Xenopus tropicalis: one gene and its partners. The protein of the gene in region 1 interacts with the protein of each later gene in a biochemical or structural test. Links are inferred from orthologs where the notes say so. Each region holds a gene or a part of one and is shown in the gene's direction. Other genes may lie near its edges.

The links. The genes of interacting proteins can lie anywhere in the genome.
Region 2: the proteins of erbin (region 1) and smad3 form a complex in vitro, tested with the Homo sapiens proteins (2 studies listed by BioGRID). The link is inferred for Xenopus tropicalis from reciprocal best matches to the Homo sapiens genes ERBIN and SMAD3.
Region 3: the proteins of erbin (region 1) and mapk12 interact in a test that uses a peptide from one of them, tested with the Homo sapiens proteins (2 studies listed by BioGRID and IntAct). The link is inferred for Xenopus tropicalis from reciprocal best matches to the Homo sapiens genes ERBIN and MAPK12.

What each region holds. Positions count from the first base shown.
Region 1 is NC_030677.2:187,517,681-187,525,076, reverse strand, and holds part of erbin (erbin), read left to right. Parts: intron 1-280; coding exon 281-454; intron 455-1,100; coding exon 1,101-1,280; intron 1,281-2,360; coding exon 2,361-2,475; intron 2,476-3,343; coding exon 3,344-3,527; intron 3,528-4,935; coding exon 4,936-6,454; intron 6,455-7,396. UniProt on the Homo sapiens protein: Acts as an adapter for the receptor ERBB2, in epithelia. By binding the unphosphorylated 'Tyr-1248' of receptor ERBB2, it may contribute to stabilize this unphosphorylated state.
Region 2 is NC_030679.2:117,362,702-117,370,709, forward strand, and holds the start of smad3 (mothers against decapentaplegic homolog 3), read left to right. Parts: upstream 1-3,337; 5' UTR 3,338-3,626; coding exon 3,627-3,832; intron 3,833-8,008. UniProt on the Homo sapiens protein: Receptor-regulated SMAD (R-SMAD) that is an intracellular signal transducer and transcriptional modulator activated by TGF-beta (transforming growth factor) and activin type 1 receptor kinases.
Region 3 is NC_030679.2:71,610,708-71,618,570, forward strand, and holds the start of mapk12 (mitogen-activated protein kinase 12), read left to right. Parts: upstream 1-3,192; 5' UTR 3,193-3,559; coding exon 3,560-3,684; intron 3,685-4,218; exon of another isoform or gene 4,219-4,329; intron 4,330-7,863. UniProt on the Homo sapiens protein: Serine/threonine kinase which acts as an essential component of the MAP kinase signal transduction pathway.

The sequences.
Region 1 (7,396 bases):
TAGATGTACCAGAAATGAAGACTGATGGGATCGAAATGCACCACAGCAGTTCAGTTAGTAATATGTGAACCCGCAAAATGTGTCTTGGTGGAAGAAGAAGATGTGCCTTGCACTACAGAAAGAAATTTATTATATGCCTAGTAATAGTAATTCAATCCAACTTATAAATCTAAATGCTTTAACCTTTTGTTAAAAATATTAACTCATTTGGTGGCTAAAATGAAACCATTTGCATGTTGAAATATAAAAACACTAATATGAATTAAATGTTGTTACGTAGGAAGGGATCTTGAAGAGGTACCCAACACCATACCCAGATGAGCTGAAGAACATGGTGAAGACTGTTCAGACCATTGTCCATCGGAAAAAAGATGAGGAAAAAGCAGAAGAAGCCAATAAAGAGACAAAGCAAACCGATGGTGATCTCATTACACTGCAGGATGTAGGTGTAAAGGTCAGGAAGTCAATTGCTTACAATTATTTAAAGCATATAGGTTACAGTGGGATGGCAGACAACACAGTGTATATGCATAGCTAATATTTCAGGTTTATTTACAGAAACAGATATTAAGGCATTACATTTTGCCATTGCTTACCAGTGGATCTCCATTTCTAAAAAGAAGCCTACACTTACTTGTTTTGGTTACCTACCATTCTCGTGTATTCAATTAATAGTATGAGGTTGCCCGCTCTACCTTCCAGTAACCGAAGCATGACAACCTTGTATAAAGAATAACAATAATAAATAACATTACAAGATCTTAATGAGTTTAGGCTTGCTTGTTATTTACTCTATTATTCAATCACCAACAAAGAAGAAAATCAGCCTGACATAGAGTGCTATTCCACACAGATGGAAGTATTCCCACATACTCTTTATAACAAATATTAATGAAACAGGAATGCTTCCTATGTTGCCCATTTTCCAACATGCACCATACCAGTACGTTATATATATTGTACACATTACATTTCTTAGTTCCCCCTTCATTTACTTGCTATTGTCAGCAAAAGTGTTTCATGTGGGATACAGTTATGAATAAGTATAAAGAGCTGTTATAAAGTATAAAGAGCTCCATATCCTTTCATTTTTTTTCTAGACCTCGGAGGCAATCTTGGTAGAAATTGATACAGAGGATAAGGAGAAAAACATGCCAGCAAACTGTATAAAGAAGCTTCATGAACCCAGCACAGAGAATTCTAATGGGAATTCACAGTCAACCACTCTTGTAAACAATTTTTGGAATGCGAAAACAGCCAACCATGAAGACACACTTGAGGTACAACGTTGTTTTACTCTCTGTTTTGGCCATGAAAGGGAAGAGGTTCTGACACACTCAATATAATATCCTGACAGTTCAGTGGTATATGCTAAATACTGATATCCATCTACCATACAGTTTGAAAGAGCTTTTTAGTTCCAGGTTCGCTGCTGACACCATGCTGAGAGCATATGTAGGTAACAGAACAGCCTTTAGAGATGGGTTATGATGTGATGGGTCCATGTTTTATATGTTTTTGTCCAGATTAATTGCCAGGGAGTGACACACACAGACTAATAATAAAGATTTAGATGTAAATTAAAAGGGAATGCCACCTAAACACAACTTAAGATTCTTCTAAGTAAACATAATTTCAAGCAACTTTGCAATATACATCAGTTAAAAAATATGCAGCTTTTTCATGATTTTCATGTAATAATGTGATTTGGAACAGTTCCCTAAACCTGGCCCCCTGTTCCCCTGCTGATCTGGCTGACTACTGCCAGACAACTGCCCTCAGCCTGCATCCTCCAAATCGCACAATTCCCTGAACACATGATGTCAATAAGGAAAGGAACCACAGTGCAGTGCATTGTGGGTTATGTAGTTCCTGCATGCTGACTGTAAGCTGTAGAGAAGTTGTTAAAAATTATAACATCAGTATTTTAGTCCCTCTACTCCTGCCAAGATTTCACATGATGCAGAAAGAGAAGAACTGTTTCTGATTTGTAGCTGGATTTCAGCATATAAAAATGAGTTTTAGTCTATTTGAAAGAAGACATTACAGTGATATGTATATTAGGGGTTTCTGCATTGTGTGGGGCTCATATGGAGTTCATTATCCTGGGTATAATAAAATAAATATGTATTAAACTTCTCGGCACTGAGAACAAAAAAAATCGCAATATTTGCTTAAATTGTTGGACTGATGAACACTTTTAACTTTAGATTTTGGGGTGCCTTGACAAGGCTGTGCTGTTCTGATCTAGTCACCAGCTAGATTTTCCAGTAAATCTACCTTTTGGCACCCCTGGTATAGTTTGCTCAAAATGGAAATTGTTTTAAATGAAGTATTTGTTAAATGTACTCCTGCTGCAGGGATCAGAAGACTTATCTTACGATGATGAAATGAAGATGGCAGAAATGAGGCCACCTCTAATAGAGACCTCCATGAATCAACCAAAAGTAGTAGCCTTGAGCAATAACAAAAAAGGTAGGCAACAAACTGACGGAATGATTATCTGGCTTCACTCGTGTGGGCGTGTCTGTCAGACAACTGTACTAGTGTGATGGCAGCTATGACACATGACAGTTTTCTAAGGGGCTGATTTTACAATTTGAGAAAAAAACGCAGCAAATAATCATGAATGCGAATATACTTGAGAATATTATTAAGAACCACGAATAGTCTGTATTCTGAAAAAAAAAACCCTCGAAAAGCAACCAGAAAAAACTTTTCAAGTCAAAACTGGCGAGGTTTATTAGAAGTCAATGAGAATTATTTCTAACGACCTGAATGTTTTAATAACTGGGAAAATAAATAAAGTTTTTTTTAGCCTCTTTGAAATTGAATGGAACAATGTGATTCTCGCCAGGGTGCAAATATTTTCTGGGACAAGATTTCACACATGTTTTGTTGCAGTTATTATTTTCCCGTTCGCATTTTTTTTTTTAACAAACTCAAATTTTGATAAATCTGCGCCTAAGTAATAAGAAGTATTTGTTTGGTTGAGCATACCTTAGGGGCATGTATAAATAGCTATTTTCTCCTCTATAGCATGCACCTTTACTTACTATATGATTCTGAGAATTATTTTGTATGGAAAGTATGAAGTGGAGCAATAGATTTTGTATAAGACAACTAACGTTCTTATTAATTCATGCATTTAATAAACTGTCTGGAATTCCAAGACTTTTGTACACTGTATAAAACCTGACAATATCTGCCTTTATAATTATGCAGTGTTGTTGCAGTTGTGTATGTTGTAATAAATAAATAAAAGGGATAAAACTACTATTTTAGACAACTGGCAGCTTGCCAGAAGACCTGACTGACGAGATATGTATTAATTATGTTTCAGATGATACAAAAGATGCAGACTCCTTGTCTGATGAAGTGACCCGCAACAGTAATCAGAACAACAGTAATTGCTCCTCGCCATCTCGGATGTCAGACTCTGTCTCACTAAACACCGACAGCAGCCATGATACTTCATTATGTTCTCCGGAGAAAGATTGCAACATTGGGGCCAATTCGAAAATAAGGTTTGTGGTGAACAGATTTTGTATTTGATAAAAGTTGCCAGTAACGTGTCTTTTTATATACTGCACTGTATTTTTCTTCCTGAAAAGGTATTGCTATTAACCTCCTAGACTAATACTCTAATGCAAGCCTGGGTCAGTTTCTAAGTTTCCTTCATTCAGATGGTACAACTTTTGATAAATCTGTTAAATTCACCTACAGTTTTATGTCTGCAAAGAATAGAACCTTTTTTATATAGTTACATAGTTACATAGGGTTGAAAAAAGACCATTGTCCATCAAGTTCAACCCATCCGAGTAAACCCAGCACACAACCTATACTAACCAATCTATACACTCACATACATAAACTATATATATATATACAACCAGTAATACACATATATATGTTTTACAATGCATATATAGAAGTTATCTTACACAGAATATACATATTTGTAAGTACTACAGTGGTGCATAAACAAGAGCAGCGATTCTTACCCTATGGGTTTGGACCCAAAAGTGCATTCCCATATGGTTTTGTGAGTCTCCACAATCTACACTAAATATGTCAAATGCCTTTCTACATTAGAACATAGTTTTGTAACAAGGTGCATATATGTTTCTAAGCCAATGTTTGGGTTGAAAATCTAATTTAGCAATTTATGTTGTCCATGTTAAATGAGATGGAAAGGTAAAAACTAAGTAAGCTTTATCAGAAAAGTCTATGTAAATACAGCTATAAGCACTTACAGTAATGCTGCACTGAGTCCTCTATCAAAAGAAACACAGGTTTTTTTCTTCTTTTGTATAAACATGTTCTTCTGTATCAGACTTCCTCTCAGAAAAATCCTTCATTCCTGGGGCCGAAGTCTGTGCAGCTCTCTCCTCTCTCCCCATCCTCCTGCCATCTTCTGCTCCCCCTCCCATAAGAATTCAGAAGAATTCACTCCCCCTCCCATCAGAATGTGCAATCTGTGCTACCAGCCTCTAGAGCTGCAGCATGGAAGCTAAGGGAGATCAAGCTAAAATGGCAACTGCTGTCTTAAACAAACGGAGGGAGCTTCTAGGGCCCTTTTACTCAGGTATAGTAAAGCTTTCTGCAGAATAAATATAGTGTTCTAGGTGGAACTAATGTGGCATTCTATTGGCAAAAAAATCCCAAAATGACTTTCTCCTTTAAACACTGACTGTCTTTGTCATTATCTATTGCAATGGCTAATTGGCCTGTGTTTGCAAAAAGCAATCTTTTCCTGATGAAAGCATGCAGTGACATCAAGCCATTTCCAGTAGTTGAGCTGTTCGTAATACTAAACATTAAAATAAAGTTTTAACCTTGTGTAGTATATACTTCCACTTCTGTATATACTGTTTGCATTTTGCTATTTTTATTAATATTCTGTACTGATTCTCACTTTATTTTGCTTTTCAGACAAGAAGATGAAAACTTAAATAACTTTATGCAAAATGGAGACAAGCTGAGCCCTGCTGATAAAAGAGAACTAGCTGAGCTACCAGATATAAACAACGACGTTGAACTAGTTACGAGAGACAGACGAGTAATTAACTCCATGGAAAAGCCACTTAACCTAAACCAAATAAACAAAAACAACAACAACGTCGCTTGTGAAGATAAAATACATTCTAACTCTGTGGAAAATTCCGTGATTTCAAAAGATAGGGTCTCCAATAAAAGTTTTGGCAATTACAATGATGAAACAGACAACATAGAAAATGGGAATAAATTCTCTGGAGTCTGTGTGATGAATAGAGTAAACGGCCATTTGCCTGAAGAGCCAGTGTCTCCAGACACCAGTGAGCCGGTAAGGAGCACTTCAGAGGACTCTGTGCCTTCTGTTGATATGTGCATCTCAAAGAGCACCGATGACCTGTCACTTGGGGACAGTGTGGGCTCAGTAGTGGGCTCAGTAGTGAAGTCTCAAAGCATCACAAACATTGAGACTGGAGCACTAAGGATCTACAGTGTCCTCAGCGATAACAGTGCACCACAATATGCTACAAGGATGTCTTCTGCAAGTGCTGAAGGGCAAAATATTGTCAGAAGTAAGTCGGCAACTCTTCTTTGTGATCAGCCCTTACAAGTGTTCACCGGGTCGTCCTCTTCCTCTGACTTAGCAGCATCGTCATCCATAAAGAAAATGCTGTTTAAATTTGATACCAACCACAATCCTGAGGGGCCATATGCAGTGGCAGGGCCCCAGGGATCTCCAATGTCTGCTGTGCCTCAATATAATGTGCAGTATAGCACCAGTGCTACAGCCAAAGATAACCTGTGGTCACAGAAACAAAGTGCCCCTGTTGAACAAGGAACTTTGCCTTCGTCTCGCTTCCACCCATCAGATAGCATAGATAACCCCAACTATGTCAAACACCCTTCTAACTTGAATTTTTCCAATCACAACAACGTTAGATCAAGTAACATGTATAATGTGCATCAAAGGATGGGGCCTAGGCATGTGGAAGCGTGGGCCCCAACACCAAATGATCGGCTTCTTCAAGTAGCGACGCGAAGTACACTTCAAAGACAAGGCAGCGTTTCTTCAAATGCATCTGTATCTCTCGGGGAGGCAGGGTCTGCTAGAAGGGTGCTTGTGCCAGAGGGGGATTATATGACTTACAGAGATCTACATACAGTGAGCAGAGGAAATCACATGATGCCTGGTCCACAGAGACCAATGTCTGCCAGGACATATAGTATTGATGGCCCGAATGTGCCCAGGCCGCAAAGTGCACGGCCGTCCATTAATGATATTCCTGAGAGAACAATGTCTGTCAGTGATTTTAACTACTCTCGGACTAGCCCCTCTAAAAAGCCAAATGCCAGGGTGAACTCAGAGCATTCGTTATTAGACACTCAAGGAAGAAGTAAAGTCCCTCATGACTGGAGAGAGCAGGTCTTACGGCATATTGAGGCAAAAAAGCTTGAGAAGGTAAGCTGACCTGTTTTGTTTTCTGTTCAATTTATATGCAATGTGATTTTGTATATCTTGCAAAAGTGTTAGATGGAGATTGTTGCAGTTTAACAATAGTTAAAAGGCTACGTTATAGACACAGCTAATTAAAAACATGGAAACACTTCTGACCTTAAGTGCTTTTACTTTAAAGGCAAAATATACCTTTTTTTACATGAGCTTATTCCGTTAGGCTTATATAAAAAAGGTGCAGAACTTTGAAACATAAATACAAACCGTTTTTTTTTTTTATTATTTACACAGCCACAGATTAAAAGGAAACCATGATAGTCTGTCTCTGTGCTCACTGAGACCACCCCCTTTAGGAGCACAGTGTAATGAAAGCCCTTCCTTACCTTATTCCATTGTTAAGTGGTGCTTTCTGGGACTTCAAGTCTCACTACTTTTCATTGTGGGTGTTGCACCAGTTCTCTAGAGAGCAGAGGGAATGAAGTCCCAAGGCCCTTAAGTTCACAATGTAAGGTGGGGGAGGACTTAAATTACACTGTGAGGATTTTTTTTTTGTTTTTATATGTTTAAAAAGAAACCTGACATATTTGTATTGAAATGATTCAAGTTGGTATCGCTAGTAATAAAGGAGCAATTTTTTTTCTGAAATCCACTTAAAAGTGTAACTAGATTGTGCCTAGACTCCCTACACTCAGCTCACAAAGGGCTGATTCTGCCAGGCACACTTCTCATTTTTCTACTTTTTAGATTGCATGACAGTGATACTGTGCTGCCCCCTGATGTTCAACAGGAAGTACAGGATTTTGCAGTTTTGCATTATTATTGCTCTTATCTATTTTTAGTATTTTCACAGTAAAATAAAATATGTCAGTGGCCAATAGAATTTTACATATTTGGAATTCCACAAGTTGAGTTCAGTGCCTGCGGTAAAAAAAATTTCCTCTGAGCTCG
Region 2 (8,008 bases), on another chromosome or scaffold:
TAAGATGGGTGGGAGGGCTGTTTGGGCCTCTGTGTACTTAATACCAAGGCCTTGTTTGTATACCAGTCCACACCTGTGGAGGGTAGCTCCTTTGTAGCTACAGGGTTTGCAATGCAGATCTCAGTTTGTTCAGAAAATGTAGGATAATTTTTTAATGAAAGTGGTATGCAGCTGTTGCAGTGTGTGTTGGAACAGACAAACATAGTAAAAAGTTCATGTAGGTTGAAGCATTTTCAGGATAAGGCCTACCTGCACTACTACAGCCAGGCAGTTCCTATTGAATGAATAGTGGCAGGGGCAGTGCTGGGTGCTTCTCCAATGGCAATGTCTCAGTCATGTGCTATATCCTTTATGTCAAAAAATATATAGGGGATCATGTACCCCCCTGTTGTAATATATGAGGAGTTTTATGCCCATATAAAGTCACGAGGCTGAAGGCCAAGTGTTGTTATATAGGTCATGGAACTCAAAGTGACTTCTAATATCCTCATGATTTACAAACGTGGTGCATTATTATGAAACAAGTTCAGGTAAGTCAGGTGACACATATTACATAGCTAAACACTGATTGTTGACATAATTAAGCCCCATTTATAAGGATTTAGTTTACAGGATAATCATGGCTTTTGTGTGTTGTATAAAGAATAATGTAACCCCTGTTGAAAAATATAAGGATATTATAAGTCACAGAGAAGGTCCATGAGCATACAGTATAAAAGCACAAGGCCGAGGAACTCCGAGGTAACTTCTTATAGCCTCTTATTTTCAACAGGGGGTACTTTATTTATTATAATACACAAGTTCCAGAGAGTGGTGACAGAAATTACATCACTAAGCACTATTAAGCACCAATTGGGCACCCAGTGGGCCCTGCATCCCCCAGTCCGACCTTGCATTTGTGTTTCAGGCAGGGGCGGGCCAACCAGACCCCCTAGGCAACCCTCCTGTGAGAGCTATAGAATGGGCATCTCAGTATCTTAGCAAACTATTCATAGACTAGCCTACACAATGCCATGTATATCCTATAGTACGGCAAACTGCCCTGCACTCTATTACTATTCTTGGTCTGGGACAGGGGAGGGCTTAGCCGACTGGATGACCTAGGCAACCCAGTCGGCCACCTCACCCCTGTGCCCTTGCAATAACAAGTGGCGAGGGGAATAAAAATGACAAGGGAGCACGGACTAGGGGTAGACAGGAGAGGTACCTGGAGCCCCCTCATTGTTGTGCCGTAGGCAGGTACCTCTTCTGCCTACCCCTAGTTCCGGCCCTTGTTTCAGGCCTTAAAAAACAATGTATAATAATTAGTAGTTTTTGGAAAATGTTGTTACAATATTGCAAAGGTTACTGGGTTATGTTCTCTAAAGACTGATTGATTCTTGATTATACAGCAGCACTGTTTCTAGCAATCTTTAAAGCAGGATTCAGAAGGAAGTGGTCTAAAATTTCTGCAGCTTAATTCCTTAACAATTAGAAGAGGGATTGTTATAGGAAACAGTAGCAAAGCAATGGAGACAAATGCACAAAAGTTTTAAAACTGGACAAATTTAGTGACAGAAAACTGCCCAGAACTAATTTGAAATGCATAATAATAAAATAATATTTTTTTGAATTGTCAAGGCCCTTAAAAGCCTGAAGTTGTCATTGAGAGGTATGTAAAGGTTTTTCCTGCACGTAAAGGTCTCCAAGATTTAAATATTAACCTCACAGGCTAATGCCACACTTTGCATATTCTTGGCAAGCCAAAAAATGCTTGCCGAGAATACGCCCCTAGGCTTGATAAAACTTCTACATGTGCTTGCTGTAATGGATTACAGCAAGCACATGTAGCTTTGCATTTTCAGTGGATATTGGCTACATGTGCCTGCACCTGAGCGTATTCAATGCTTCACAGTGCAGGCACAAGTAGAAGTTTTTTCAAGGGTAGGGGCGTATTCTCAGCTCTTGTTTCTCGTTTTTTTGGCTTGGCGAGTATACACAAAGTGTAGCATTAGCCATGTAATGGATATATTAGACCAGGAATCCCCAACCTTTTTTACATGTGAGCCACACTCAGATGTTAAAAGTGTTGGTGAGCAACACAAGCATGAAAAAGTTCTGTAGATTATGCAAAATAAGGGCTGTGATTGGCTATTTGGTAGCCCAAGTGGACTGATTGAAGTAAAGCTCCATCTCTATGCTTCCAAAAGCTTGTCTCCAAGGCAGAAATGTAAAAACGGGCACTTACTTTCTTTTTCCATCTGTCTAGAGCTGTCTCCAGTATGCCTCAGAAGGGGAAAAAGCAGGGGCGTATATTCTATATGGGCACCCGAGGGCTTGTGCCTAGGTGCCAACAATTTGGAGCCTGCCCAGTGATTTAATATTTCCTTCTCCTTCAAAAACTTTGCCTCCAGCTTACTAAAGTGCAATTAAGCTGTCTGTGACTCATTGGCCTTTACCACTGCAAATTAGTGCCCAACTGATTGCATTGCCTGAGTTTACTAAGTGTGCCTTATATGTCTGGCATTAGAGTTACACACACAAAATAGCTAATGCCATTATTCATTAACATTTTTAGTTTTTGGTATCAATTTTCTGCCATATATGTTCCATATTTTTGGGGCCTCAGCCCCAGGGATGGACTGACCGGCGGAACACTGAAAGAAAACCCACTGGGTTCTGAATCTCAAGGGCCCCACCCAGGCCTGCTCCCCGCCAGTACCACCAGCTATCACCCACGATCCCCAATTTAGTGTAAAGATGAAGCAAAATGTAAAGGGTGCGTGGTGTTGAGTTTGCCATATGCAGAAGCTTGCAACTGGGTGGTGGGCAGCTACAGGGACCTGGCCACTCCAAACCAAGGATGTCTAGCCAAAGGCACTTTAGGTAGGGGCCAACATTAATGACTATCACCTTTACTTTTTTATTTAAGCTTTTTTAAAGTGACTTTCTGTCAGAAACCCATAATTCTGCTATACTTTGCAGCTTGTGGTATCAGTTTTTATGCACCAGTAACTCTTAATAACCTCGGTGTTAATACACATTTAATTCTCCCTCCCGCTCGCAGGTTGTAGCTGCTGCTGAGGGGAAATATCGCGAGAGGAGGATTCCTCTCCTCACTGATTCTTCTCGTTCCTGACAGGCTCCCCTTTAATTAAAGGCCTACGTCCTCAGCAGGACGAGACATTAGGGGCGTGGTCAGATTCTGTCGTCGTAAGAAGAGGTGTCAGTGAAATGGAGTGGGCGTGGCCTTTTGGAGGGAAGGAGGGATGCTTTTCTGAGAGGGGAGGTAAGTCGGCGAAGAGGGGGGGGGGAGAGTGGTTAGAAAGTTAGAGGCGAAGAGAAGGGGTTGAGTGCTGAAGCACAGAGAGGGACAGGGAGCGACTGAGGCCACAGTACGGGCAGAGAGTGCACAGTAAGAAGTATATATATATCTAGAGAGAGAGAGAGAGGGCAAAAGAGAGAGTCGTAGTAATAGCTGCTGAGTAAAGTGTGTGTGCGCCAGTGGGGAAGAGTCCCAAGGAGCCTGAGTGACAATAGGTGTGTGAGCTGCAGCCTGACAGGGATTGTCCCCTTGTCTCCCCCGCGGCCCCCCAGCTCCTGTCCTTTCTCTCCTATTATATCTCTGTTCTGCTTGGGGGGCTGTCATGTCCTCGATTCTTCCCTTCACTCCCCCCATCGTGAAGAGGCTGCTGGGATGGAAGAAGGGAGAGCAGAATGGGCAAGAGGAGAAATGGTGTGAGAAGGCAGTGAAGAGTCTGGTGAAGAAACTGAAGAAGAGTGGGCAGCTGGACGAGCTGGAGAAGGCACTGACCACCCAGAGCATCAGCACCAAGTGCATCACCATCCCCAGGTGAGAGGCAGGCGGGGAGCAATGCCCAGCTGGCAGCAGCATCATGTGCTTTCCATTAGGCAAGGGATTGCTTGTCCAACCCAACATGATCAGGGCACAAGTTCTGCCATATCAGTGTGACTGGGGTGATGGGCCCTGCTGCTATATATAACATTGATAGGCGCTGGACCCAGAGTAGATGAATGAGAGCATAACAACAAGTCATATATTATATATGCTGTTACTTTAAGAATCATTGTAAGATTTGTTGCAACTGTTTCTCCATGTCTCCCATCTCCTGTTGAGTATTATAAGCCCCTAATACATTTGATTCACCCTGTTGATTGCGCATCCTATACCAAAACCAATAGGATGGCATATATCATCCCTTATTCTAAACTACTTCTGTGGTTACTTAACCATGTTACTCCTTTTACACTCCTGTTTTGTTCTTGAACTACAACTCCCAGAACCCCCCTGACAGCCCAAGGAGCTTGTAGTCCAACAGTACAGTAGCTGGAGACTTGTGGGCTGGATATCCTTGGTACCGCCCTTCTGATTTGCTCCTCACAGTTACCCTGCAAAAAGTATTGGACAAGAGGAGGATTTATGTTTCCTATCCCCCTCTACATTCAAAATGTCACACAAGTGCTTGCAGCTTGCTGTAATATAAAGGGAACATTGACATTCTCCAGACAGTTTCCAACTTTTCCTGCATGTAATTATGTTTTTCTAAATATATTTTACTCTTCATCACGTAGCCAGTGCCTCCACTTTCTCTTTGAGGCTGCAAGTTTGGCTTTTGATCATTCTTGAATTTAATGCCATTATAAAAATATATAAAAATAATCATTTCTGCATGAAAGACAACAAACTCTGTACAGATTTTCATATATTTCATATATTTCCTTACAGAGACTTATACAGAGAAATATGTATCAAAAGGTAAATCTTGTTAAGCCTCCATCACTATAATTTTGTATAACAAATACTTGCAATAATAAGTTAGACCCATGTGGTATGTGTTTTTGATTGGGATAAGTTTCAATAAGCTATAAGTCTAGAGTTGAGACTTATAGCCACTCTACAATACATTGACAACAAATACAAATGCCTTGGATATAAGTGATCCTCATGAACATGTATCCCAAAGGTCAAAGTTGTGATGTAGTTGGGACAGGCCAGGAAATGCCAGCACAGCATGTGGGGAAATTAGACAAATCTGTTTTTGCTGGAATACCATGACAACAGGAATGGTTATTCTATACCTGATTTAGTTTCATATGGTATATGCATTCCAGATTCTAGGAATTGATGGCTTGCAATCACAATTCCTTTTTTCCCTTTAATATCTTTGAGATCATTCTAATCTGAAAGAAAAACAAACTACCTGAAAGTAACAGGTAACATTAAACCAAAACAGAGCTCTCCAATAGGAGGCATGTACAGGCTTTTGAAAAAATACCATACCATCAGCCTGGTGTTAATTTTTAAAGTTTTGACACCCTGATACACAAATGGATGTGGTTCCAGGGGTGCTGGATCCAGGCTAGGGAAGGCTGGAGTGCAAGTACAAATAGGGTCTATTATCCCAAATGCTTGGAACCTGGGGTTTGCTGTATCAGGGATCTTTCCATAATTTGGTTCATCAAACCTTAGGTCTGCTAAAATCATTCTAACATTAAATAAACCTAATAGAATTGTTTTGCCATAAATATGAATTTATGCAGGTTAGTTACCAACACGTACAAGTCAGTCACAAGGTACAGGTACTACCTTGTACATGATGGCAACAAAGCTGCATTGATCCATATTGGTGGCAATTATATTATATTGGCGGTTTATTTAATGTTTAAATGATTAGAGGTGATTAGTGATTAAAGTATGGTCATCCAGACTACAGAAAGATCCCTTAACTGGAAAACCAAATGTCCCGAGCATTCTGTATTACAGGTCCCATACATGTACTGAGAAAAAGGAAATAATTTTAATAAACGTTTCTCCAGCATACAGGACAGTAGTTGCTGGACTTCTACATTTCAAGCTTCCCTGAAGGCCTAAGCTTTAGGTAGGCCTCTTCTTATACAACATAACAATGTTACGGTTGATGCATTGACGCAATAGCCAAACTTCCAAGAATATCTAGTACAGAAAATATGTTTTCACCTTAACTCTCATCCTAACTGACCTTCAAGCTAAATTTTAAGGTGTATCAAGGAGAGCACATAGCTATTCTTATTATTTGATCTTCAGCCGGCCACTGCTCCATATTCTCCAGTGGCACCAGCACTACATTTTAGGGAGCACTACTAAAGGTAGTGTGCCACCTTTCAGTTCAGAATGGCAGATTTGGTGCCCCTCGGAAATGGGAAGCTAGCATGTGAGTGTAGAAAGGTACAGCTGGGGAGGATTGGAAGAGGAGGGTATGTATAAAATAAATATTAGAGTCCAGGTTTTTTGTTATCAATATGAGCCAATTCCTCATATACAGAAAGGTGTTGGTATCATTCTAATGAATGCGGTAACTCAGTGTACATCAAATAACTAAAATTTTTTAAAGAACATGTAAAGTCTATTTTACTGGGGGGGATGCCAAAATGTTAGGCAACCCCCTAGTGTAATAGACACTCTCGGAAAAAAAACTAAGGAACCTGAGTGTCGCCTGCCATTTTACTAACCTTTCTACCGGCGCCCCAGGCATCCCCTGCGCAAATTCTTGTTCCGCATGCGCATTGAGATCTACTCAACTGCACATGCACAGAATGCCAAGCACCAAGCAATAAGAAATAAGGTAAGGAGATATCTGAGTGGTGCCCAGTCCAGACAGTTTTGTCCACAGGCTGGTGTGGTTCTTTCCTAACAGGAGAACCAGCCTGGGGACAAAACTTATCTATTTCACTGGGGGGTGCCTAACATTTTGAAAACCCCAAGTGAAATAGACTTTACATGTCCTTTAGGTACAGCCTATATCCTTGGTTGCTAGAAAAAAAAACATCCTTCCTTGTAAAAATAAAAAAAAAACTTCCCTTATGACACAGTGCTGCTTTGTTTAAACAGGCTAATTGTGGCAGCTTTACAGAAAATATTATTATATTATGTTTCACAGAGTTTGTCAATCTGCATTCTGTGTCAGTAAAATGACCTGGCATAGCTTTCACATGAAGCGAGCAGATTACCCACTGAGCACTGTGAGGTATTTATATAAGAAGGAGAAAATAAGCACGTTACAAAACAGGCCTGAACAAGAAGGGCATGTGAGTACAGGCACAGGGACGTGTGGGGGGGCACATTGGGCTCAGCAGTTTTACACATACACACAGCCGAAAATAGCACAGAATTTTACTTAGATGTAAAGCTAAGAATTGGGCTCTTCTGTAATGGAAGATTATAAATATTCAGGTTCCAGGAATTTCTAACCTTTCCTTTACACTACGCAACGTAGGTCATCTGTAACTGGCGTTTCCCAGTGCCTGCTGTTAGGAAATTCTTTTCCAGAAGCCAGTTCTGGATCCACCATGGATTTTTTTTTTGGAGTAAGTGTTTCCTAGTGGAAAATAAAGAAGGATCATTTTTTATTCCACAGGGAACAAGCAAGAGTAAAAGGCAGTGAAAAATAGAGGGCTTTTGAGTTTTTCACATATAGTAGGGTGGGGAGGTTTGCTGGGAAGGGAGGTTGAGAAATTCCTGAGAAAACTTGCAAGTAGTAATGTGTTATCGTAATAAAGAGCGGGGGAGGCAGGAAAGCATTGGTAGTTTGTATGCCAGATTTGCCTGTAGACAAAATTGCACCAGCTAATCATACATATCATTAAAGCACAGCTAAGGTCTAGAAATGTTGTATTTCATATACTGAACAGTACCATCCCAGAGATTCAGTTGCCCTATAACAGAAAGTAAGGATACAAATGTCACAGTAGCTGATGCTACAGGGCTGATCATTCTGATACAGACTGCAATGATTTCTGTGCTGCCATGTAATGTGCATCTAAATTAACTACTATCAGACTTGTATTGTAAATTAATTTTGTGTAAAAAAGGCATATTGTGAGTAGGCCCCTAAATACAGGTAACTATCAATGGGTGAGTCTGTCCCATTATGTCGAAAAATTTGCAAAATGTCAAAAATTCATAAAATACATTGGAGTTTATGAAACTGATAAACAAATTTGCTCATCACTACAGTTAACTTACAGCAGC
Region 3 (7,863 bases), on another chromosome or scaffold:
CAGACTAAAATATTATAAGATTATTTACAAACAGTATTTAGGTCAGTCTTACATTCATGATAAGTCTTGCATTATACTCCCCACAACAACAAAACTTCATATGAACTTTGGCTGCATGATATGCAGGTAATATTCCATTAATGTTTTTTTATGTATATATTGGTTATCAGCCTGAAATAGACAAAAGAAACTTTACATAAGAAAGGGTATGAACTGTTCAGGTTAATCTTCATTGATGTTGCATTAAAAGAAAAGTGAAGTAACTAAAACACTTCCCTTTAAAATATAATGCGTTTATAAGTTTGTCTGTGCTAAATACAGTGCTCATTTGAAGTGGTGCTACAAGTTTGAATGAAACTAATAATAAAGTACATCAAACTTGAATATACAATGTAATTAATGGCAAATCATAGAAAAGGTCATGGCTATCACCATGGAAATCAGATGAGGCTTTCATGCAATGTGCATTAGCGCTGAGTTTATCCTGGTGTTGGTCATGTAATGACTTGGACACAGCCATTAACTCAGCTAGCACTTTGTGGGAAATGTTGGAGTACTGACACAAATATGCAGTGAAGAGTTATTGGGTAGCATTTTGTTCTGCAAAGGCTTTATAGAGGGTCATTGTAGAACATCCAGTTATTATGTTTCCAACCACACTTTATCTATGCAAAAGCCATTCTGCAGGGCTCCACTGGAAGCCAACACAACCCATAGGAACCATTTACTGGGTTTTATAGGCTAAGCCCAGGCTGAAATAATGTTTTCCTAATTGAAATGTGCATGGGGCTAAATTTTTATGAAGGGACAGAGAACTAATTTGAATGCACATTGCATGGACTCATGCTGCTGGGATATGCCTTGCTTTATGTAACACAACCTCATTCTGTGCAATACATTGTAGTTTTTTTGGCAGTGTGGGCATTGCATATGGCCTCCATGCTGACTATAAAAGTGAACCTGCTGCCCAGAATAAATATTTTGTACGCTTAGGCTGAGTAAATGAGTAGTAAAGATGATTGGATTGTAAAACAAAAAAAAACTTTTGCTCTGCCTGTATTTGAGAAGGTTTTCTGCAATTGCAAAGGTATCTTTCCATTGGACAATGATCAAAGGTTCCCTCCTGATTGAATTGTATGCTTTGTGCATATGTATGTCTTTGAGAGTTAAATTAGTTTGTAAATTCCACTGGTTAGAAAGTGATGGTAAAACCATACACCATAAGATTTGCTTATTTGGTGAGGTTGCCAAATTAGCTGGTCTTTCTCCCAATATAGCCCAATATCGGGATATAGGTCCAAATGATCTAATTACAGTACCGCGAATAGCAGCCATTGGAATGAGGACCACATCAATAAGCCAATGTGGTCCCTGATACAATGGAAAATCAAGTCTGCCAGATACTTGTTGGGAATGCCCATCAGAGTGCGCCATACACAGGCAGATAAACTGCCAAATCAGTTTGAATTACCTAAATCAGAAGCTTAAATCTGCCCATGCATTGCCCCCATCTTGGCCAGATCCAAGCAAAGAGCATTAACTTTTATTTGTTTTTCTCCTCACTGAAAAAGAAACCATGCTCACATTCAGGCACCTGATAATAGAGACAACAGACCCATTGCTGGGGGAGGCAGTAGCATTCAAGGCATTGTAATGTCTAAATTTCATGGGCAATTTAAACACATATGCAAAACAGAATTGGTTAGATATTTTATCATACAATAAAAGTCAGTGAAAGGTGCCATTTCACAACCCACTGGGCAAAAACTGTGGAATCCTGGTGGGTATGTGTATCTCCATTTTCTTTGCTCTGTGAATTTATACTAGTGTGTAATTACCCTCTAGATGCAAAATAGATGCTCCATCTCATAGCAGTCACTGAAGAAGAACAGTATATAGGAAGATTCTTATTCATTCATAGGAGTTGTCAGTTCTAAACTTTACAGAACACATTTGAACCCAGCTTGATAAACACACAACTTCTTGAATAAATAAAAACATATTTTTTGACAACTGTTTGATTGAATTATAAGGCATGTTAAAGGCATAAAAATGCAGCATGTTGTGTTTAAGGAAATACATTGTAACGCAGCTGTGCTAAAATGCAGATCCTGATGCAGGCGGGTACAATCAGGCAAAATAAAGCTGAATCAAATCGCACATGAGTTTAGGCGTGCTTAATCTTGCATCTCAAACACTATATAAATAGTGTAAGTTGCATGCAGGACCTGTCTGTTCAGGGTGCTGCACATGAATATAATGTATAAACTACACTACAGCATCCAAGAATATCATGCTCCCTTGGGGCTGGGCCTGGTCCCTAATGGGAAATGATAGGTCATTAAAACCTATAGTTTCTTCTGCAGCTGTCAGGCTTAGAGTTTTGACTGTTATTTGGTTGCTATGGTTTAATTACCCTGCTGACCAGGAAGTATTAATCCAACCCCTTCACCAATATTCCTTGACCCTTGCATGTGGCGTTACTAAATATCTCATTTAATCTGCATTTTTGGTTATTCTATGGGAAAATATATTATTTGTGTCCCCTTAGGCCCCTGCTGCCAGCATTATGGTCACAACCCTTTTAGCTACTAAGCTACACCCTTACTTAATATTACAATGGGACCTTTTATAGCTTGTAATTGTGTCAAAAGAGTCTGTTGCATTTATAGGAGCATAACAATAGGCTGAGTTGGCTCTTTTGCCCCAAGATTATTTGGAGCTCAGCAGGGGCCTTTAATAATGGCAATTTAAATTTACAGGTACAAAAGCCTGTTCTAGATTTGGTACACTGGGACTACAGCCACATTGAGATATTACAACTGTGTAATCTAATTTCACAGACGAACAAATAATAATTACAAATAAGCATTAGTAATAATGTAAACCGAGTCTGATAAAAACCCATTGGGGAAGAATGAATTTGTTAGGTTGAACTGCCTAGTAGTAGCAGTGGGTTATTGAATAATAATTGAATAATGGCACTTCATGCCAAGAGAGGTCATAAAGCTTCACATTGAAAAATAATGCAAAGATCGTCTTCTTGTAGCGAAGGGTCATAACACGTATGAACGTGTGAGCGAATTCCCGGCCACATAACTTCCCAAATCACTTTAGGACTGTGTCGGACTAGAGCAGTGAGTGGGTTAAGTACTAATCTGCGCACTGGAGAAGGGAGGGGAGAAGGACTGGCCGGGTCACGTGACGGCACAAAGCTCCGGGCTCTATATGGGAAATACTTCCCGTCACTGGGCAGCTACTGTGCAGGCTGAGGGTGCGGGAAATACGCACAGTGGACAAAAGGAAAACGAAAGTGGAAGGCGAGAGCTGACCGAAGAGCGAAGACGCAGAAAGAGGGGCTGGTCGGAAGAGACTGTTCTACGTAAAGAAGGCAGCCGGTCCCTCATGGTGAATAAGAGCAGGACAAGTCAGTACTGCTCACCGTGACATTACTGTACCTCTCAGGAGAGCCGCCCAGTATCAGCAGTCAGGTGACTCTGCCTGGGACCCACATTCACATAGTACTAGTGCAACAGGAGCCTGCTGGCAACTAGTAGCCATGTCCACCTCCCCGTTGCCCAAGAAGGGATACTATAGGCAGGACGTCAATAAGACCGTCTGGGAGGTGAAGGAGAGGTACAGAGACCTGGTGGCTGTGGGATCAGGAGCCTATGGCACTGTTTGGTAAGTTGCAATGCTCCAAATATTCATGAAAGTTATCATTCATTGGACCAACACCTGTGGGTTTGTGTAATCTGTGCCAGGAATCACAGGAGCGGAGCCATATGTGTGCCAGCCCCTGCAGACTGCATTGGAGTCCTATATCATTGTAGTACTGTGAGTTAGGGTTTTGTATAATGCAGTGTATTCGATTTCAACTGGCACAAACAAATGATATTGCCATAGTACTCTACATAAGTTTCTATACCTGCCAGCTATATTGCCTTCAGCTTGCAAAAATGCTTGCTGGACCTAAAATGCTGTATTATGTCTCTATTGGCAAATGGAACAAACACAAGAACAAACACAAATTGCCAAGCTCAAAAATAGCTTGTGTACAAGCTGGGTATTCTATACATGCACAGCATTGCTAAAAAATAGGTCACATTTCTATAGAGCATTTCAGTACAAGTAAATTATATTTTTTGGCACTAATTGTCTAGTGGCAGTGTAGATTGCTCCATAGGGAAATTGTTCCCTGTTTTTCTGTCTTTTCAGACATGATTTCAATAATGCTGCTGGCTCTGGTACAAACCCCCGTGTGTATAGACCCATAGCTATACCCCATGATTATGGCACCCATGTGACATTTGTGCAGTGAACATGCAGGTAAAGACATCCCTTTTACAATTCTGGGGTTTTATTTGCATGTCTGTCATGTCTTAAATGTTCACCTCACTACCCCTTGACCAACTACCAAAGGGTTATGAGCCACCAGATGGTTGTATTGTGTTGCACTTGGCATAGCTTTGTGTTCCATTTTTGCTATATAACATTTCCTTGCTGCATAGAGAATTCTAGGCATATTACCTTGTTTATATGATTCCTGCATGATTCCTATATCACTAAGGTAAATATCCACAAACTTTACATGTTTTATGCGGGTTTAGTACTGTAAAATGGTGCAGATGAAATATGCCTCTATACCATTTACAATCTAAGCCCTGTCGCACTGAATTATGTGAGAGTATCATCATAGAGCATTTTGTAGTTTAATCAAATGTTTGAAATGAGTAATTGTCTATAAAACCGTGGGGATTAGCAATAAATAGTATGTTCCCTGGGTATTTTATCTTTATAATTTAGTACATAAACATTAATTTAAAGCTAAAATGTAGTTCTCTTTGTTCAGTTACTAATGCCCTTACTGCAGATGTAGAGAGTTGTAACATTTTACAGCCACCGCAATGCTACCAAGGATAAGGTACTGTATTGTTCACAATTTCCCTTTGCTTAAGTCTGTTGAAAAACTGATTTTCTGCTTTTACAGAATTAATTATTTCACATATTTAGAACAAGCCAAACTGTTGTTGCAACCGAGCAGGGTCAGGTCCAGGTAACATTCAAATGTCCCCTGGCTGACAGAATTGGGCAGCTAGAACCATATTTAGCATTCTATAAAAAAGCAACACAAAGGGACTGTTTATTTACTTCTGAAAACACTTTAAAAAGCAGTGTAAAATAACTGACACATTTATAAAGGCTTTAATTTTATTTTACACTGCCTGTTCATAATTAACACCACCATTATTTTTATGGAATTTCCCATTTAGGTCAATGGGAAACTTCTGGCAGAGCTAGAGTGTAAAGGAAAAAGCAGCAATGGATGATGGCTATTTATTACACGGCACTTTCAAGTGGCTTATTACTAAATATCTATGCATATTTTCTAGCTCTGGACAGACCAACTGGAGGCCCACTGTCTCCAAGTGATTTTTATGACCCACTCTAGCCTGCTCAAGGTCTGCATAGATCAGTCTGTGAGACATTATTACTTCAAAATAACTGGCAGACATTGCCCCTATTAAACTGTATCTTTTAATGTGTAATGTCTTTAAAGGATTTTTATTTTTAGGTTATTTCCACAGATTTTGTTGACTGGATCCTGTACCTAGTTAAACAGGCTGCACTTATTGGGAAATGGCTAACCAAGTTTGGGTGTTTTTCAGCAAGGCTAACAGACCCCCTGCCGTATACCCTCCTCAAATCATATAATAATCAAAATTAGAGGGGATTATAGGCAGTTGGGGGATGTTCTTTTTTCCCATAAAAACAATCAACGCACCAGAGGTCACCCCTTTAGATTAGAGGAATGGAGCTTCCATTTGAAGCAGCGTAGGTGGTTTTTCACGTTGAGGGCAGTGAGGCTGTGGAATGCCCTTCCTAGTGATGTGGTAATGGCAGACTCTGTTAATGCCTTTAAGAGGTGCCTGGATGAGTTTTTGAACAAGCAGAATATCCAAGGCTATTGTGATACTAATATCTACAGTTAGTATTACTGGTTGTGTGTATGGTTTATGTATGTGAGTGTATAGATTGGTTAGTGTGGGTTGTGTGCTGGGTTTGCTCGGATGGGTTGAACTTGATGGACAATGGTCTTTTTTCAACCCTATGTAACTATGTAAGATTGGGTTAGCCAGAACAAAATAGGTTCTTGGAAAAATCTGCCCCCTGCATACAGTTTCCTTATTACTGATAACTTGATTAGGCCAAATTGTATATGGTCAAGTAATTTATCTTCCGGGATGTACAATTAGGATTACACAAGAATCAGCATGCGTGCTTGGCATCGTGACAAGTGCCAGTGCTTGTGTTTTCTGTGCTTCTCCAGCTGTTGTTAAAGGGATTGTTCAACTATAAGTTAACTTTTGTATGACAGTAGAGCGTAATATTCTGAGGCAATTTGCAACTGATGTTCATTTTTTATTATTTGTAGTTTGTTTGTTATTGAACTTTTTGTTCAGCAGCTCTCTAGTTTATAGTTTCCGCAGCTATTTGGTTGGTATGGTCCAAATTACTTTAGCAACCAGGGAGTGGTTTGAATGAGAGACTGATATATGAATAGGGAAGGACCAGAATAGAAAATTAAGATATACAATATAACAATAAAACTGCAGCCTCACAGAGTTTTTTGGCTGCTGGGGTCAGTGACCCCCATTAGAAATCGGCAAAGCGTTAGAAAAAGAAGGCAAATAATTTAAAAACTATAAAAAAATCAATGTATAAAGACCAATTGAAAAATTGATTAGAATGATTGGCCATTCTATAACACACTTAAAGTTAACTTAAAGGTGAACTACCCCTTTAAGATGCCGCTGTCACTATCTCCAAAGAGCTGAAAACTGTTGCATGGTGATGGGTATTATAGTTGCCTTTGTAAGATTGCCCTTGGCTGTATAATAGCGCCAATAATGCATTCTCTTCGAAACCATTCATTGGACCAGCCAAATGGCAATAGCTTGCATTTCTGGTGGGGCCAAACAATACAGAACACTACACTTTTTGCCATTGACTGAAAAGTGCCATTAATGTTCCATGATGCAATACAAACACAAAGGTAACTACTGCACATGGCTGAAATATTCTGTTTTCTAGATTGGGACATGGTTCCTTCTATTGGTGGTGCCTTTGTGTCATTACATTTACGTACAAACCGGATTCCAAAAAAGTTGGGACACTAAACAAATTGTGAATAAAAACTGAACGCAATGATGTGGAGGTGCCAACTTCTAATATTTTATTCAGAATAGAACATAAATCACGGAACAAAAGTTTAAACTGAGAAAATGTACCATTTTAAGGGAAAAATATGTTGATTCAGAATTTCATAGTGTCAACAAATCCCAAAAAAGTTGGGACAAGTAGCAATAAGAGGCTGGAAAAAGTAAATATGAGCATAACGAAGAGCTGGAAGACCAAATAACACTAATTAGGTCAATTGGCAACATGATTGGGTATAAAAAGAGCTTCTCAGAGTTGCAGTGTCTCTCAGAAGCCAAGATGGGTAGAGGATCACCAATTCCCACAATGTTGCACAGAAAGATAGTGGAGCAATATCAGAAAGGTGTTACCCAGCGAAAAATTGCAAAGATTTTGCATCTATCATCATCAACTGTGCATAACATCATCCAAAGATTCAGAGAATCTGGAACAATCTCTGTGCGTAAGGGTCAAGGCCGTAAAACCATACTGGATGCCTGTGATCTCTGGGCCCTTAAACGACACTGCACCACAAACAGGAATGCTACTGTAAAGGAAATCACAGAATGGGCTCAGGAATACTTCCAGAAACCATTGTCAGTGAACACAATCCACCGTGCCATCCGCCGTTGCCAGCTGAAACTCTACAGTGCAAAGAAGAAG